Linked DNA regions of Arabidopsis thaliana. Each later gene encodes a partner of the first gene's protein in a complex. Each region holds a gene or a part of one and is shown in the gene's direction. Other genes may lie near its edges.

Region 1 (11,051 bases):
GTATAGCTCAAGCTCAAACTCTAAAGGTGTAGGTGAAGTCATCATTATAAGACCAGAGTGGTTAAACTAATGTTCTGTTCGTTATGTGTTTTGTAGAACTGATAATGCTGTGAAGAACAGGTTTACAACACTTTGTAAGAAGAGAGCCAAGCATGAAGCTATGACTAAAGACAGCAACTCAAACACCAAAAGAATGTTGTTCTTAGACGGTATCAGTACACCGCGAAAATCCGAGAATGAAACTCCTATTGCTAAGAAATTGAAGTAAGTTTTGTTTCTTTTTTGATCAAATAAACTTAAGTTTCCTGAGTGTGTTCACTTTTCACAAATTTCATGGGGGTTTGTTGGTTATTATACAGGAGAAGTCACATTCTAGATCTCACAGAGATCAGTAACTATGGAAGGGCCGAGGCATGTGTGAATCAGCAGATAAGGTCTCCATTTTCGGTTTTAGCTCGAAATGCCACTGGTATTGATAGCTTGGAAGAACAGAATCAAACAAGCAATGTGAATGAGAGTGATGGTGAAGGGATGTTTCTTAAGAAGGATGATCCAAAAGTGACAGCTTTGATGCAACAAGCTGAACTTTTAAGCTCCTTGGCGCAGAAAGTTAATGCAGACAACACAGAACAGAGTATGGAGAATGCTTGGAAGGTAAACCAAAAAACAACAAACTTCGCAGCATATCAAAATAGCGAAAAGTTTCAAGCTTACTAATAACATACCTCTTGTTGTATGCATATATACAGGTTCTTCAGGACTTCTTGAATAAAGGCAAGGAGAATGATTTATTCAGATATGGAATACCTGATATAGATTTTAAGATCGAGGAATTTAAGGACCTTATAGAGGATTTGAGGAGTGGTTATGAAGACAATCAATTATCTTGGAGGTAGCTTTTCATCACCACAAAAATTTTGTGTTCATCTTAAGGTTTTGATTGTATAACCATTTCATTTGATGTTCTTTAGGCAACCTGATCTTCATGACTCACCAGCTAGCTCTGAGTATAGTTCCGGATCAACCATCATGGTGGATCAGTCTGGTGATAAAACACAACCATTCTCAGCAGATACTCAGACAGAACATAAGCAAGTTGGAGAGGAGTTGCTCGTCCCGAAAAATCCTGATGAGAATATGCCCATCTCAGGCGAAGAAAAGTTCAGCTCGCCTATTCAGGTCACGCCATTGTTCAGATCTTTGGCAGACGGTATACCAAGTCCACAGTTCTCCGAAAGTGTAAGCTTCGCACCTTCTTTGTTCATCATACAATACTTAGGCTTTGAAAAAACAATGAGTCTTAAAAGACTGATTGCTTTTGTAGGAGAGGAGCTTCCTGCTAAAAACACTAGGGATCGAGTCCTCATCTCCATGTCCAAGTGCTAATCCTTCAAAACCACCCCCTTGCAAAAGAGTCCTTCTCCATAGCTTGTAAACCAACCAACCATCTCTCTCATACCCTAAACCGCGGTTTAGTCTCCATGGAGACGTAATTTTTTCCACTTTTGCTTAGATTTCATATTAGGTTTTGCAGCCATATCGGCCTGGAAGTTTTTGTGAAGCGGGCATGCCATGATCTGCATTCCTCCCTCAAGGTTTTTAAGTTTCTTTCCTGGTCCTAGAATGTTAACGGTAACATTTTCTAGCCCCATCAAAGAATGTTCTCAAGAATCTGCCATATACTCAGATTCAGATTTCTCTTTCTTTTCTTACTTAACATAAGGAAGCCATCTACAAAAGAAGGCACCAGTGTGTCTTTAAGAAAAAATTCTTTGGTTTGTCTCTAAGGGCTTTACTCAGATACATCATCTGAGCATTTTCCCCAGATTTCTTGATTTGTTTTCATCATCTCTGTACAGAATCTCTATCACATATATATAAAGAAGTTTTCCAGAGTGTAACTTTAGGAAAAATGAAAAACTCAGAAGGAAGAGTTTGTTGTATTGTTAAGACAAATATATATGAGTGGAAATATATGATTTGTCTTTTGGTTTGATATATATAAGTTTCTTCTAATGCATTAGTTTACATTTTGCTAATGGACTAAGCTTTCTTCTCTCTAACTTTCAGACATATTTGGAAGTAAAAAGTTTCCAAATCAAAAACAATTTTCTTGAAGAATTAAATATTTTGATCCCCAATCTCAGCTTCAGGCCTTTTTCTTCTTCTGCATTCTCTGCAGCTTCCTCCATTTCAGGTAAATTTGGTAAGACAATCCACCGAACACCATCGACACACATCCCCATTGTTTGGAAGATAACGGATTCCCGCTCAAAACTGAAGATACCACGATGCTTACAAACTTCCTGGTTGTGGTTATGGTCGTGTTAGCTAGAGACCCGAATCTGCTTATTGTCAAGAAGATGAAGTTTTGGCCTACTGCACCGCATAAACAGTACATAAGAATGTCCCATGCTGCCTCAGGGTGTTGCTTGCAGAACTGCACAGCTTCAAATCCGCTCCCATGTGGCAATCCAAACATGTAGACCATGTTGTATATGGTTCCCCATAAATTCATTCCCAGCATTATGTCCCATGCGTTAGTTTTGGGGTACCTGTATCCATGTATGGCGATGATTAATGTCCAACATCTAGACCATGTTGTAGATGTCAGACTGGGTTAAGTATCTGACAGAATGTCAAGAGTCATACCTTGCGGTAATGGAATCCTGGGTTGCGTTTGTGAATCCATCAAAGGCAAGGTTTAAGAAGCAAAGCCCGTAACCAAGGGGTGCATTGGGATGTGCTAGCTTGCTGATGGTTTTAGAGCTTGTCTGTAAACCAAGTCAAAGACGGTTTACTACATTTCCACAGACAAAGTATAACAAAGATTATGATCAAAGTTCCTGAATGCAGATTTGCCTACCTTAAGAAGGGCAAACATAGATACTCCTCCGGCAACAAGAAAGGTGCAAAGATACTCAGGCAAAGTGTATCTTATGCCATAAACTAAGGAGCCCATCAGCATAACTACATGAAAGAAAAAACATATATAAGATACACATAGCAGCAGTTGAGAGCGATTATGGATTGATGCTCTAAATTGACACCTCACCTGGAATCATTTTGGAAGATTTTGCAAGGACCTGCAAGAAGCAAGTTTTGCATCAATATTACTTCCCAAGAAAGGTTATTACCTCAACTATCAACCATAATCAAGAAAAATGAGGTTTTTATTACACTAACAATGCCTAATTTACCTGAGCTGGGTAACTAATATACTTTAAAGCTTCAATGCCCATAGCAGGACCAATGGTATTAGTAATGCCAGCACTCCAATACGTCCACCATGGGGCTCCACCAGAACCTCCGTTGGACCAGAGCTTAATCACTGCTCATAATCAATCAAAAATACTTCAGTTCCATTTATTCGTCTGTTATAAACTTATAATTCTAAGGAATAAACAATGAAGATGCCCTACTCACTTATATAAGACCAAACCAAGCAGATTACATTCTGAGCCAAATTCAGAAATGCAAGATGCTCGAATCTCTTCCCATCTTCACCAAATTTCTTCGTCGACCTAATTCGAAAATGTTAGAGTTCTATCAGCTACATTTCTATAAATTTCCAATAATTGCAAACGCATCACCAACCAGGATTCCGAGAATAGAAACAATCTCGAACAAACAGAATCGAGCAATGTCGAGAGAAAATAATCAACGAGCTAAAATAAGATTGATCGATTTCGACCCTAACGAGTTTTACTTACAAGGTCTCTTGAAGAATGCCTTGGTATATGTAAGCTGCCCAGATCCCAGCGACACAGAACGACAATAACAGAACTCGCCGGAGACCGGAACCGTGAGATTCCATCGCCGCACGTCGCTTATTGTTTTATCCGACGGAGCTCCGGCGAAAATTTGAATTTCAATTTTACGCTATTTGATCAGTTTTGCGATCAAATTATGAGATCGGTCTGAAGTGGAAACGAAAGTTATTAGAGAGAGTGTAGGAGGCGCGAGAAAGACGTAGATTTTCCACGTGTAACTGTGTCATTGGCTTAATAATCTGACATGACACTTCTGATTGGCTATAGGACGTGGATTTATTTCTGGAATCCAAGTCATATGCACATTCATGTCTGAGATAGGAATGGGAACTATGTGCCGTTTTATTGTCATGAAAACGTCACGCAGTTTCCTAGAACTTGTAAACGGATGTTCTTTTTACAGCTTGGGCCTTAATTTGATTAAGCAAACTTGCACACAGCTAATCATGTCAGTTTGACTAACTGATGAATTCATACAAATCTAAGATCACTTGTGGTAAGAAAATGAAAGAAAAAGGCGTATATACACAAATGGAGGAAAGTTGCCAACATGATTTAATTGATTAAAATTTAGTGATGACCCATTGTTAAGATTACTAAAACAAAATATGATATATCTTAAAGTAAATGTGACAATAACGTCAACATAGCGAGAAAAGTTTGAAATATCGAATTTCCATTATATTAAAACAAGGTATCACATGCATGCACTCATGCATAGTTCATTATGATTTGAGTAATTTTCTATACGAATAATATTATACTATATCTCAATGAAAATAGAAGTTATATATATTGGGAAACGGAATTTATATGACATACTTAATCCTCATGGGAGAACCAATTATACATTTTGAAGAGTCAAAAGTCAAAACTCAAAAGAGTGACTCTTACCGGATACAAAATGAAAATAGAAGTCTTGGTGAGATAACAAATTAATGTGTAACATAACAATATAATATCATAAAAGATTCCAAATGGGGCTTTTGTCCACACGTGATATGCAATATGCAAAAGAAAAAAGAACTCTCTTTCGATCTGCCGGTCAATAACAATGTGAATATAGATTAACTGATTAATAAGTAGTTTCTTGGGTCAATGCATGGGATATTATATTTAAGAAATACACCAAAAATGTATTCGACGTTAGCCACCACGTTCCATTAAAAATTCAAATCTAAATGATGATTACCGTCGTCTACATCTATGATTACAAATTTTTTGTCTACTATGCGTTTAGTTATTTACCATGGTTTGACGATTATATATATAACACACATAAATTATGACGGTTTAACGTTGTCTCTTAACTCAAAACTTAATTTTACAAAAATATTATTTAAGAGTTGAATCTCATACTTTAATTATTCATTTGGTCAACTAGAATGCGAAAAATCCACAATACTTCGTAACTAATTTCGGGTCCTTTAAATCTTGATCACCTGTTGATCAACAAAAGATCTACACATAAAGATTGATTCATCCATTGACTAAACTTTTATTTATCGAAGAAAGACTATATATATCTAATGCATGCATGCCATATGCACAATAATCTAATAGTAAATCCAATACGTCTCAGAAAGATAAAATCGTCCATAATACCAAATTTTATTCTAAGGTTTTGATATCTCTCATAATTTGGAAGTGTATGTAAAAGTTTCTTAAACATAAATATAACATCCAAAGAAAAGTTGTAAACACTTAACATCTTGATTGAAGGGGAATCTCGCTAATAATTGTGACTGAACGATAGTAAGTATTATTGTAAAATATCGATCAAAATTTCAACGATATGGGCGATCCAGACCCACCACTTTGTTGTCCCTTAGCAGACGTCAACCATGACCATAATTAGTTAAAAAAAACACCAAACAAAAACCACAACTTCCTTTTAATTCTTTTTAAATTCTAAATTTCAGACTAACAAAAAGTATTCATAAGCTGTTTCATGTATGAATTTAATATCATGAATACTAATAACTTGAGCCATTAACTTTAACCAAAAAAAAAAACTTGAACAATCTAATATAATTCCCTGTAACATTTAAAAGATGGAGATGGGAAAACAAGAATTCTAAAGAAACATTGTAAAAATGAAACAGAGACAAATATTTTCAAGCAAGTCTTGTTTCATTTCATTTCTGTTTGAAAAATGACAAGTTTAAAGTCATGTCTCATATGTGTAATATTATTAACTTTAAAATATAACAAAATAAATATCTTTGATTACTTTTTGAAATGTTTTTTATCTCAAGAATTTGGAAATTTTCGTTGATTGATACATTATAAAATCTGAAAATTAGATGTGAAACACGACTTTTTGTCCACCACCAATCCTCCTAGAAATTATCAGTTTATCACTCGATTACTGAATGAATGAATGAGTTATCTCTGAAAAGTTGTCGTACCATTTATTATCCCACGCGGATTTACTGCCGTGAGCATGACGTTACCGTATCTATCTCAAATTACTAAAATTGTCCTTTCCGATGGCCGTCTAAAGGAACTAACTCGAGGGCATTTTGTCATTTTGAGAAATTGTTATGAGTTTGAGTACAAAACAAAAGGACACGACGACTTTGTATTATTTGCTTCAAATCCTCTGTTCTTCACCTTCCTTGTTCCTTCTTCTCTCCTTCTTTTTTATATAGATTTTCCTTTCATGTTGTAATACTTTTATTCTATTAGCGTTCATATTCAGCTAAACAGACATTGCGCCGCCGTTAAGTCGAAAGGATAGAAAGAAATTAAAGAAAGAAGAAGCTTGTTGTCTTTGCTTCTTGAGGCTCTCTTCTTGTCTTGATCATCTGTTACGTTGTTCCACGAAAAGAACAGTAGCTTTGTCTCTCCATATAGGGTTATTATCTGAAATGGGTAATTGTTTAGATTCATCAGCTAAAGTGGATAATAGCAACCATAGCCCACATGCTAATTCTGGTAACTATTTCCTCTCAAGTCTTTATTGCTTAATTGGGTTCTATGTTACAGTTTCTTGGATATTTCTTCTTATTCTCAAAATGGGTTTTTCGAATAAGTAATTTGTCCATCTCTGGATCATCAAAAGTCAAACTCTTTTGAATTGCTCTGTTTAGTACATGTGTTTGATCCATGTTTGTATCTGTATTGATGTTCTTAGCATCATGAGTTTGATTGAAAACACACCAAACTAAAGAGATTTTACTATGTTTGAATGATCATTTTAATAGCTTCTTCGGGCTCTAAAGTTTCAAGCAAGACAAGCCGTTCAACGGGTCCTTCAGGACTAAGCACAACTTCTTACAGCACAGATAGTAGTTTTGGGCCATTACCAACACTTAGGACAGAAGGAGAGATACTTTCATCGCCTAACCTAAAAGCTTTCACTTTCAACGAACTCAAGAACGCGACTAAGAACTTTCGTCAAGATAATCTACTAGGGGAAGGAGGTTTCGGTTGTGTATTCAAAGGATGGATTGATCAAACATCTCTCACTGCTTCACGTCCCGGTTCTGGAATCGTTGTTGCTGTTAAGCAGCTTAAGCCTGAAGGTTTTCAAGGTCATAAAGAGTGGTTGGTAAGTTCGGTTTCTCGCCCTTTTTCGGTTCACCGTGATTAATGAGTGTGTGTTTGCTGACATTTTGAGATATTGTTTTTTTTTTTTTTTTCAGACTGAAGTAAACTATCTTGGTCAACTTAGTCACCCAAATCTTGTATTACTAGTTGGGTATTGCGCGGAAGGCGAAAACCGGCTTCTTGTATATGAATTCATGCCAAAAGGAAGCTTGGAGAATCATCTTTTTAGACGTATGTTTTCAGCAACTCAACAATCTTGAATTCAAGAAGAATCTTACATGTTTCTTTGTTTTTCAGTTTTCTTATAATCATCCGGTCAATGTTACTTGCAGGTGGGGCGCAGCCACTTACATGGGCAATAAGGATGAAAGTGGCGGTAGGTGCAGCTAAAGGGCTAACTTTTCTTCATGAAGCAAAGTCACAAGTGATATACAGAGACTTTAAAGCTGCTAACATTCTACTCGACGCTGTAATAAACCCGAGCATATACTCTCTATAACCACTTTCGGGATTTGCTTCTGATTCCTAACTGTTTGAAACTGTGTCTAAATGCAGGACTTCAATGCTAAGCTTTCAGATTTCGGATTGGCAAAAGCAGGTCCTACTGGTGATAATACACATGTGTCAACAAAGGTCATTGGTACTCATGGATATGCAGCTCCTGAATATGTTGCCACAGGTTTGTTCTAAACTTACATACGCGGTAATAAACTAGACAATACCACGAGCCCATCTATGGTCTCAATAAGGTTTTATCAGTTTCTGTGTAAGACAACTTCACAAGCTTTTTCCAAGAATGTTTCAAAACCTTTGACTTATTAATCTCGAAACGCTTTATCTTTCTCCAAGAACTCGTCAAGAGCTTTGACATTAACCAAAAATCTTTGACCTTTAGATTGTTTTTGTTTTCTCTAAGAACTCATCTAAACCTCATCTTCATCCACTGCAGGTAGATTAACCGCAAAGAGTGATGTGTACAGCTTCGGGGTCGTGCTACTAGAACTAATATCAGGACGGCGTGCCATGGACAATTCGAATGGAGGAAACGAGTATAGTCTTGTAGATTGGGCAACACCGTACCTTGGCGATAAGCGAAAGCTTTTTCGCATAATGGACACGAAACTAGGGGGTCAATATCCACAAAAGGGAGCTTTCACAGCTGCTAATCTTGCATTGCAATGCTTAAATCCCGATGCAAAACTCCGGCCAAAAATGTCAGAGGTTTTAGTCACATTAGAACAGCTAGAATCCGTTGCTAAACCTGGAACCAAACACACCCAAATGGAATCTCCAAGATTTCATCATTCTTCTGTTATGCAGAAATCTCCGGTAAGATATAGTCATGATCGGCCTCTGCTGCACATGACTCCTGGTGCATCGCCTTTACCTTCTTACACTCAATCTCCTCGTGTAAGATGAAACACATTTAAGAAAACAGATCGTGCTTTATGCTTGTATGTGTACTATATGTAAAAATGCAGGCTTGTCTGTGTAATTAGAGAGGAGTGATTGCAAAGGTTTATACAGAGATTAACTATTTACTTCAACTATTTTGTGTCTTCAAACATATCAGAGTAAATTGAAGCAAGATATGAAAATGATGTAATAGACTAGACATGAACACTGACCAAACACTCTCTAAACTCACCAAACCAAACCAAAATGCAGAGGAAACACACTAAGTAATTGAATTCGACCATGTAAGATGAGTAGATGACACTCTCTTTTGCCTGAGCCTTCACCGTTTCCAGTCGGTTCTGGTTGACTTGTCTGAAACAATCAAGAAAGATATGGGTTAAAAGGTTATTTATCTGAGTAAAGCTTCAATACTTTTATAAGAATTCTGTAAATTTGAGTCTTGCTTACGAGTTATGTCCTTGGAAGAAGTAAAAGATTTGTCGCCGTTCATAGATCCTTTGGCAGAGGCTAAGAGAAGTTTTTGAGCCCTTGGAGACATAGTAGTAGTACTCAGCTTACCATTGGCTGGAGAAGGCAGTGAATGGCGCCGTAATGCCCCATTTATCTCAGTCTTCGCTTGGGCAAACCTCGGAGAGGCTTCTCCTTTGACTCTGGCCTTTGCAGATGCAGTCGGGGCCATGTAGCTGGGGATTTTCCGTCCGCTAAGGGTAAGCCCATCATCTTGTTTGTCAATATTTGCAGGCAGCAATGCTCGTTTTTCACTTTGCTTTGTGTTATCAGAACCAACATTACCATTCTCAGAGCTTACCTTCACATCTGCACATTTAAGGGCTTCGGCTTTGTCACTGGTCTCTGCAGTTTTCAGTTCATCTTCCTCCGTCCTATCCAAAACTGGTGACTTCTCATCTTTTACAATATCAAATTCGATGGGAACTGCATCAGCTTTATCTTTCTCTTTTTCACCAAATTCAATATTGTCTCCTCCTTCAAGAACCTTTCCTTCAGACTCTATCTGCACAGAATCTCCAGTATCTTTTTCTTTTCCAGAAGACTCGATATTGTCTCCTTCTTCAAGAACCTTCCTTTCAGGCTCTATCTGCACAGGATCTGCAGTATCTTTCTCCTTTTCAGTAAACACAATATTTTCTCCTTCTCCTCCTTCAAGAACATTCCCTGAAACCTTCCCTTCAGACTCTATCTGCACAGAATCTGTAGTATCTTTCTCCTTTTCAGCAAACTCAATATTGTCTCCTCCTTCAAGAACATTCTCTGAAACTTTCCCTTCAGGCTGTATTTGCACAGAAGAATCTGGAATATCTTTCTTCTTCTTCTCAGCAGATCTAAGGGTGGCTTTCTTTGACCCGTTCGAAAGAGAAGACCTTTTGAGACTAGGACTGGGCTTCTCATCTTTAATCTCCAAAGGCGACCCCTCCTTTGAGCCGCTTCTACTTTTTCTCGAATTGTGATTTGCTTTGTCACTCTCATTTCTCAGGGGATCTTTACTAAGCGTGGAAGCCTTCCTCACATTTCGTTTAGGTTTATTTCTTTCAGCTGTAAAACGGCTAGGGCCAGTTCCACTAGTTGTGCCAGATGGTTTCTTGATACTTCGCTTTGGCCTTTTCTTTTCTGCTTCAACCACTGCTTGGTAGTTTCGCTTCTTTGACTGAGATTTTGGAATCTCAATCCTAGGTACTCGTGAACCAGAAGACCAAACTTGTAATTGTGTCCAGCGTTCAAGCCAAACCTTGGCTGAGTTAGGTTCCTCAGGACCATACTGGATCTTCAGAGGCAATGCAGTTGGTGAAGAAGCTAGAAGCTGAAAAGCCAGAGAAATAATAAGTTACAAACCAGAAAAGCCAATGTTGTGTTGCAAGATTGGTAAATCCGGGTTTACTGAGCAGGAGTTATGGAAATTATTATTCCACCAAGAACCATGAAACATAAGTTAAAGATACCTTATCAACAAAGACGAACTTTGTGGGATTATCCATCCAACTACACGTGCTCGATTGCAAAACTTCTGAATCACTTGCTTCCTAATAGAAGAAAGAAAATTGCAGCTTGATTATAACAAGCCTACAAAATCAGCCAACTATGTAATGAAGGCGTGATAAAGAGTCTCTACCATATGTTTTTTCTGAAACTGAATCGCAATATCTGAAGATCTAGCTTTCTGGCCACGAACAAGAGCCTGAAACTTCACAATTCCCCATATACATGAATATGTAGCAATGGCTTGTCTTCTCACCAAGTGACCACGGATAACTGCCTGCAGCCTGATGATACCTTTAAGAGTTCGAAATG
Region 2 (7,982 bases), on another chromosome or scaffold:
TGAAGGAGATGAGTTCCTCTAGTGAATCTCATCTAGCCACCGCCAAAACAGCTCTCACAGCGGTTGCATCAGTTGCTGCAGCCGCAATACTAGCTCGATCAGTGGTTCAAGATTACATGCCAAACGAGGTTCATGAATATATCTCTCACGGCTTTCGCAGATTCTTCAGCTACTTCTCTTATCAGATGACAGCTGTAATAGAAGAATTTGGAGGTTTTGAACACAACCAAGTGTTTGAAGCTGCAGAGGCTTATCTCTCCACCAAGATATCTAATTCCACTAGAAGAATCAAAGTTAACAAACTTGAGAAACAGAGCAATTATAGTGTTACTGTTGAACGTGATGAGGAAGTTGTTGATATTTTTGATGGCGTCAAGCTTAGTTGGATCCTTGTATGTCGCCATGTCGATAAAAAGGATTTTCGTAACCCGAGAGATCTCAACTCCACTTTGAAATCAGAAGTGCGTAGTTACGAGCTTAGTTTCCGAAAGAAGTTCAAGAACATGGTTCTTGAATCTTATTTACCGTTTGTTGTGGAACAAGCTGCTTCTATTAAACAAAAGTTTAAAACATTGAAGATCTTCACCGTTGATTCTTACTCCGTGGAGTGGACCTCTGTGACTCTAGATCATCCTTCCACGTTTCGCACTCTCGCTCTGGATCCCGAGGTGAAGAAAAACTTGGTGGAGGATCTTGATCGATTCGTGCAGCGGAAAGGCTTTTACGGGAGAGTTGGAAAAGCTTGGAAGAGAGGTTATTTGTTGTATGGTCCTCCCGGTACTGGAAAATCAAGCTTGATCGCAGCTATAGCTAATCATCTTAACTTCGATATCTATGACTTAGACTTGACATCACTTAACAACAATGCTGAGCTACGGAGGTTACTTATGTCTACTGCAAATCGTTCCATTCTAGTTGTGGAAGATATAGATTGTTCAATCGAGTTAAAAGATCGGTCTACTGATCAAGAAAACAACGATCCGTTACATAAAACGGTGATGCATTTTGATTCACTATCAGTTATGTTGTTATGTGATCTTTTGCTTATTAGCATTACTAATGTTTTGGTTAGTCATTTTCAGGTCACACTCTCTGGTCTATTGAATTTTGTAGACGGACTATGGTCAAGTTGTGGTAACGAGCGGATTATAGTGTTTACGACTAACTACAGAGAAAAATTGGATCCAGCATTGTTGAGGCCAGGACGTATGGACATGCACATTCACATGTCGTATTGCACACCAGCTGCTTTTAAGGTTTTGGCTTCGAATTATCTCGAGATTCAAGATCATATACTTTTCGAGCAGATTGAAGAATTTATCCGAGAAATTGAAGTTACACCAGCAGAAGTAGCTGAACAACTGATGAGGAGTGACTCTGTGGATAAAGTACTCCAAGGACTTGTTGAGTTCTTAAAAGCCAAGAAGCAAATAGATAATTCAAAAGCTTAGAAGAAATTTAGTTCTTTTATTTGTTTCTTTGTTAAACACTATCATGCAATTATTGGTTATAAAATGTTACAGAAAGTGAAATCATTTTTTTTTTTCCTAAGTGAAATGCGGATATTGTTTTATGAGGTCAGAACATGTCTAAACTCAATGATAAGATTCTAAAGTAGATTGAGACAAGTTTCGTAGTCGGCAGCAGTAACCAAGAAAACGAGTAAGGTTGACTCTTGACTTGTTAAACCATTGACTTCAATTTCGATAAAGTCTCTATGTAAGCTCATTTTTCTGAAACAAGTTTTGCTAAAAAAATCCAAAGATCTGAAGCTTCAGATCCTTCTCGGCTAAGGCTAAGTCACAACCTTGTAAGTTTACTTTACTTTGGTTAGATTTGTTTCAATGTTCTAGGATTCTACATGTTTCTTGAGAAGATATGGATTAGTTAAAGAATAATCCAATCTTTTGGTTATTGAGATTCTATAGTCGTTGGTTGATTGATTTTTGGAAAGTTCAATCTAGTGATGATACACATAACCGATTGAATTATTGCTTGGTTATAGTTTACCAATTAGAGATATTTCTTGAAGTTGCAGGGTCTGAGTAAATGGTGGACGCTGTTGTAACAGTGTTTTTAGAGAAAACCTTGAACATCCTCGAAGAAAAAGGCCGAACCGTATCGGACTACCGAAAACAGTTGGAAGATTTGCAAAGCGAATTGAAATATATGCAGTCTTTTCTCAAGGATGCAGAGAGGCAGAAGAGAACTAATGAAACGTTGCGTACTCTTGTTGCGGATTTACGAGAACTGGTTTACGAAGCTGAGGATATACTTGTGGATTGTCAGCTCGCGGATGGTGATGATGGGAACGAGCAAAGGTCATCAAATGCGTGGCTTTCGCGGCTTCATCCTGCCCGGGTTCCGTTGCAGTACAAGAAAAGCAAACGTTTGCAAGAGATCAATGAGAGGATAACGAAAATAAAGAGTCAAGTAGAGCCTTATTTCGAATTCATAACGCCGAGTAATGTTGGAAGAGATAATGGAACTGATCGGTGGAGCTCTCCGGTGTATGATCATACTCAGGTGGTTGGTTTGGAAGGAGATAAAAGAAAAATCAAGGAGTGGCTCTTTCGATCAAACGACAGCCAGCTTTTGATAATGGCCTTTGTTGGGATGGGAGGGCTAGGTAAAACTACAATCGCTCAAGAAGTGTTCAATGACAAAGAGATCGAACATCGTTTCGAAAGAAGGATATGGGTGTCTGTGTCCCAGACTTTTACTGAAGAACAGATCATGAGAAGCATATTGAGGAACTTGGGGGACGCGAGTGTTGGAGATGATATTGGAACATTGCTGAGAAAAATCCAGCAGTATCTTTTGGGGAAAAGGTACTTGATAGTTATGGACGATGTATGGGACAAGAATTTGAGCTGGTGGGACAAGATCTACCAAGGACTGCCTAGAGGACAAGGAGGTAGCGTTATCGTGACCACAAGGTCGGAATCTGTAGCGAAAAGGGTGCAAGCGAGAGACGACAAGACTCACCGTCCAGAGCTCCTTAGTCCTGATAACAGTTGGCTGCTGTTTTGTAATGTGGCATTTGCAGCAAATGACGGTACTTGTGAGCGTCCCGAGCTAGAGGATGTTGGCAAGGAGATTGTAACGAAATGCAAAGGTTTGCCTTTGACAATCAAAGCGGTTGGTGGGTTACTTCTGTGCAAAGACCATGTCTATCATGAATGGAGACGAATTGCAGAGCATTTTCAGGATGAGCTAAGAGGAAACACTTCTGAAACTGACAATGTTATGTCTTCTCTGCAGTTGAGCTACGATGAACTCCCTTCCCACCTTAAGTCGTGCATTCTCACGCTTTCGCTCTATCCAGAAGACTGTGTTATACCAAAACAACAACTAGTACATGGATGGATCGGAGAAGGTTTTGTCATGTGGAGAAACGGAAGATCTGCAACTGAATCTGGAGAAGACTGCTTTTCCGGGCTCACAAACAGGTGTCTAATAGAAGTTGTAGACAAAACCTATAGCGGAACCATCATCACTTGCAAGATTCATGACATGGTTCGTGATTTGGTGATCGATATAGCCAAGAAGGATTCGTTCTCTAACCCGGAAGGCCTCAACTGTCGTCACCTTGGGATTAGTGGAAACTTTGATGAGAAGCAGATCAAAGTTAACCATAAGCTGAGAGGCGTAGTGTCAACAACTAAGACAGGTGAAGTGAACAAGCTCAACTCAGACTTAGCTAAGAAATTCACAGACTGCAAATATCTTCGGGTTCTCGATATCTCGAAATCCATATTTGATGCTCCTCTGTCTGAGATTTTGGATGAGATTGCAAGCCTTCAACACTTAGCATGTCTTAGTTTGAGCAACACACATCCGTTGATCCAGTTTCCTCGTTCCATGGAAGATCTCCACAACCTTCAGATTCTAGACGCAAGCTACTGTCAGAATCTGAAACAACTTCAACCTTGCATCGTCTTGTTCAAGAAACTCCTTGTACTTGACATGACGAACTGTGGATCCCTTGAATGCTTCCCCAAGGGTATCGGAAGTCTCGTGAAGCTCGAAGTTCTGTTGGGATTTAAGCCAGCCAGGTCCAACAATGGGTGCAAGCTCAGTGAAGTGAAAAATCTCACAAACCTTCGGAAACTTGGTCTTTCTCTGACTCGTGGCGATCAGATAGAAGAGGAGGAGCTTGATTCTTTGATAAACCTAAGCAAGCTGATGTCCATTTCGATCAACTGCTATGATAGCTACGGCGATGATCTCATAACCAAAATAGACGCCCTTACTCCTCCACACCAGCTCCATGAGCTTTCTCTACAATTCTATCCTGGAAAGTCGAGTCCATCGTGGTTGAGTCCTCACAAGCTTCCGATGTTGAGGTACATGTCAATATGTTCAGGTAATTTGGTGAAAATGCAGGAACCATTCTGGGGAAACGAGAATACTCACTGGAGAATTGAAGGTTTAATGTTAAGTTCATTGTCGGACCTAGACATGGACTGGGAAGTGCTGCAACAGTCAATGCCGTACCTGAGGACCGTGACCGCAAACTGGTGTCCAGAGCTAGAGTCTTTCGCGATTGAAGATGTTGGCTTTAGAGGCGGAGTGTGGATGAAAACACCATTGCACAGAACCTGATGAAACGTTTTAAGCAACTAGATCAATGTTTATTAAACAGTGACAATAAGTTGGTGTATTACATATACCTTGATACAATGTAATGTTGCTTTGACCGTTTGGATTTCATATCGCAATTTTCTTTTCTAATAATCATATAACAAACGAGCAAAAAGGGAAAACAGAGACTAGCAGCAATGGCAGATCTTTGATGTCAACTGCTTGATCAGTCAGAATCAGAGTCCAGATTCTCTGAAGACCTAACAGACCTCCGTATGCTCTCTTGATATTCGGCGTCTTCATCATCTTCCTCTTTCTTCTTCTTGCTGAGCATTCCTGTTAAAGATTTGCACTCTTTAAGCAAAAATTCTCTAACTGGGCCGTTATAATAAAAAAAAGGTGGGACCGAGGTTCTTCATACCCTTTTTAAGAAGAACGTTCTCTAGTTTATTCGTTGTGAAATCGTCCTTGGTTCCCAGATCCTGGAACCCAACTAGCCTATCCATCGCAACTCCCTTGCTAAGAATGGTAAAGAAACTCGTACTTTATGAGTATACACCTAACAACAAACCCTGTATGTAAGAAGGAATAGAAAGAGGCGAAACCTGAAAAGCACAACGCAAGGCAAAGTCTTTATTGCAAGCTTCGTGACAAAGAAAGGAGCATTCTGCATTTATTTCAGCCAAGCATTAGCTTCAGCAAAGGATTGTTGAAAAGCCATTTCCTCTTATAAAACTTTCATCAAATGGTTCACTAACCTCTGCGTCCACTTTAATGAACTTTGTGTCCACATGTCTAGGTGCAAGAGTTTTCAGATGCTTGTCCATAATCCTACAGTAATGCAGTAAATATGTTTGGTTATGAGCTCATATACATATCAGAAGACGAACAAAAAATAAGCTGATGAGAGATCTTACTTGCACCGGTAAAATTCCTTATGGTAGAAATGACATATCACTTTCTCACTCCTGGTGACTTCACCCAAGAAATCTCCTTCACTCACCTCTCGATATTCACCATGCCCTTGTCTTTTAAACGATTCTCTCTTCTCAACCTCTCTCTGTCAAGATAAAATCTTGAAGATTTTAGTTCATACCAAAAGCTGCATAACTATATAGGCCACAATACAATGCCAAAGTTATAACCTTTAGTGCTGCAATCCTATCTGCGTGCAATCTTTCTAGCTCTGGATCCTACAGAACATAGACAAATAAGTCTACCATAGAGACCTACGCTTAACAGTCACAACAAGCAACATTGCACTTACATCCATAAGTTCATCAAGATCAACCTCTTCATTAACAGGATTTGATCCTTGCGCCTTCTCATTTGCAAGAACTTCCTACAAAACCCATATAAAGAACTCATCAAAACCATACAAGTAAGTCCTCACAGGTAATCTACTCAGACAAAGAAACATCAAAAAAACTCATAAAGTCTATCACTATTTCAAAAACAAATTGAGAAACATTCTTTACCTTTTGATAATTTCTTGCAGCAGCCGCCATTACATTTCCAAATGCTAGATTCGAGAGAGTCGATTTGACTGCATCTGGATCCATCTTTTAACACCAAAAATCTGAAACAACAGCATGAAAAAAGCATTAGGATTCAGAGATAAATGAGAGCTAAAGCTTCAAAATCATACCTTTTTCAATTCCTTCCTGATGCGAAGAAGAAAAATAAAAAAACACAGCTTGAGAAATCGAAATCAAAGCTTTTTTCCTTTCTTTACTAACAATTTCAAAAAATCAAAAGATGAACAACAAAGGTGGAAGAAACATACCAAACGACATCGTTTTTTAGTTTAGTAAAAGATATGCATTATTGGGCCTTTCATATCTAAAGGCCCACAGGCCCATATAAGTTAAAATTACGTCGGTCGCTAACCACTACTACACCGACGTCTTACTTGCCATGTGTGTGTGACTCTTAATCAATTACGAATTGAATATATTACTTTTACGATGTCGGCCAACACGTATTGAGTAAAATATCTATGTGATGATGAATTCCTATCCAAAATGAAATTTGCATCTCTATAAAAGTATCATTCAAGAGATCATTAATCTTCATCGATCAAAGTCTTGAATATTTCATCTATATATACCTAAGAAAGAAAAGAGTTAAAGAAGTATATTTTCGATTCAAAGAAGAAAAATGAATTCTCACCAGAATCAAACCGGAGTGCAAAAGAAGGGAATAACGGAGAAAATCATGGAGAAGCTACCAGGTCATCATGGACCTACTAACACTGGTGTTGTTCACCACGAGAAGAAAGGGATGACGGAGAAAGTTATGGAGCAGCTGCCAGGTCATCATGGTGCTACTGGTACCGGTGGTGTTCACCACGAGAAGAAAGGAATGACGGAAAAAGTTATGGAGCAGCTGCCAGGTCATCATGGATCACACCAAACTGGAACCAACACAACTTATGGTACTACTAACACTGGTGGTGTTCACCACGAGAAAAAAAGTGTGACCGAAAAAGTTATGGAGAAACTACCAGGTCATCATGGGTCACATCAAACTGGGACTAACACGGCTTATGGTACTAACACTAATGTCGTTCACCATGAGAAAAAAGGTATAGCAGAAAAGATTAAAGAGCAACTGCCAGGTCATCATGGAACTCACAAAACTGGAACCACCACAAGTTATGGTAATACTGGCGTTGTTCACCATGAAAATAAAAGTACGATGGATAAGATTAAAGAGAAGCTTCCCGGTGGTCATCACTAGATTGATTAACAACTTGTTTAAGCTTATTTTAAGTATTTGTGTGGTGTAATAATATGATGATGTGGCTTTCTTTCATTGAGTCGCTAAATAATATATGTAAGTGATGGATCTTTGAATTAATATAAAATATCTACTTCTGGTTTCGTTTATTTATCTTTCTATCGCTTCAACTATTCCATGTTATTAAAATACTTGTGAGTTGTGACACATACAACCACGTATAATTCACATGTAATTATTTGGTAATTCAATTCTTTACAAGTTTATATGTTCTTTTGCATACAAGTTATCAGGGAAACGACCGCAGTTGTTTGGCAATGTATATTACTCAGGTTTTCAATTCAGGCCCATACGGCCCAAATAAGTTGTTTTTACGGATATCGAGTTAAAAGAGGTGTGTCGATTATAACGGACATGTGTCACACTAACCACAAAACCAACGTCTTACGTAATCGCCACGTGTGTCACTTCAACGCAATTTGATAATAATCATAATACTATATGTGATTATGATCCCTATCCAAAGTTGCGGTTCTATAAAAATACCATTCAAGAGCGTATACATCTTTATCCATCAGTGTCTTAATTTTGTCTATAGCTAAAAAAAGGTTCAATTGTAAAAGGAATATGGAGTCTTACCAAAACCAGTCCGG

What was found.
Region 2: APK2A (region 1) and ZAR1 share a complex: the UniProt entries of both Arabidopsis thaliana proteins name them as parts of the stable high-order oligomeric complex.

What each region holds. Positions count from the first base shown.
Region 1 is NC_003070.9:4,909,213-4,920,263, forward strand, and holds APK2A (protein kinase 2A), read left to right. Parts: upstream 1-6,278; 5' UTR 6,279-6,646; coding exon 6,647-6,713; exon of another isoform or gene 6,714-6,982; coding exon 6,983-7,329; intron 7,330-7,423; coding exon 7,424-7,559; intron 7,560-7,660; coding exon 7,661-7,797; intron 7,798-7,883; coding exon 7,884-8,007; intron 8,008-8,277; coding exon 8,278-8,747; 3' UTR 8,748-8,926; downstream 8,927-11,051. Other genes in the region: FLP (Duplicated homeodomain-like superfamily protein), read left to right, coding at 97-264, 360-654, 750-892, 972-1,239, 1,325-1,435; UTR3 (UDP-galactose transporter 3), read right to left, coding at 2,150-2,555, 2,653-2,774, 2,867-2,970, 3,056-3,086, 3,201-3,331, 3,427-3,524, 3,714-3,817; IQD28 (IQ-domain 28), read right to left, coding at 9,067-9,098, 9,195-10,563, 10,703-10,783, 10,873-11,051.
Region 2 is NC_003074.8:18,934,078-18,942,059, forward strand, and holds ZAR1 (HOPZ-ACTIVATED RESISTANCE 1), read left to right. Parts: upstream 1-1,596; 5' UTR 1,597-1,810; exon of another isoform or gene 1,811-2,038; 5' UTR 2,039-2,049; coding exon 2,050-4,608; 3' UTR 4,609-4,722; downstream 4,723-7,982. Other genes in the region: AT3G50940 (P-loop containing nucleoside triphosphate hydrolases superfamily protein), read left to right, coding at 9-995, 1,083-1,451; PLP3a (thioredoxin domain PLP3A-like protein), read right to left, coding at 4,814-4,923, 5,009-5,106, 5,193-5,254, 5,346-5,418, 5,505-5,647, 5,733-5,780, 5,855-5,929, 6,066-6,149; LTI30 (dehydrin family protein), read left to right, coding at 6,748-7,329; XERO1 (dehydrin xero 1), read left to right, coding at 7,957-7,982.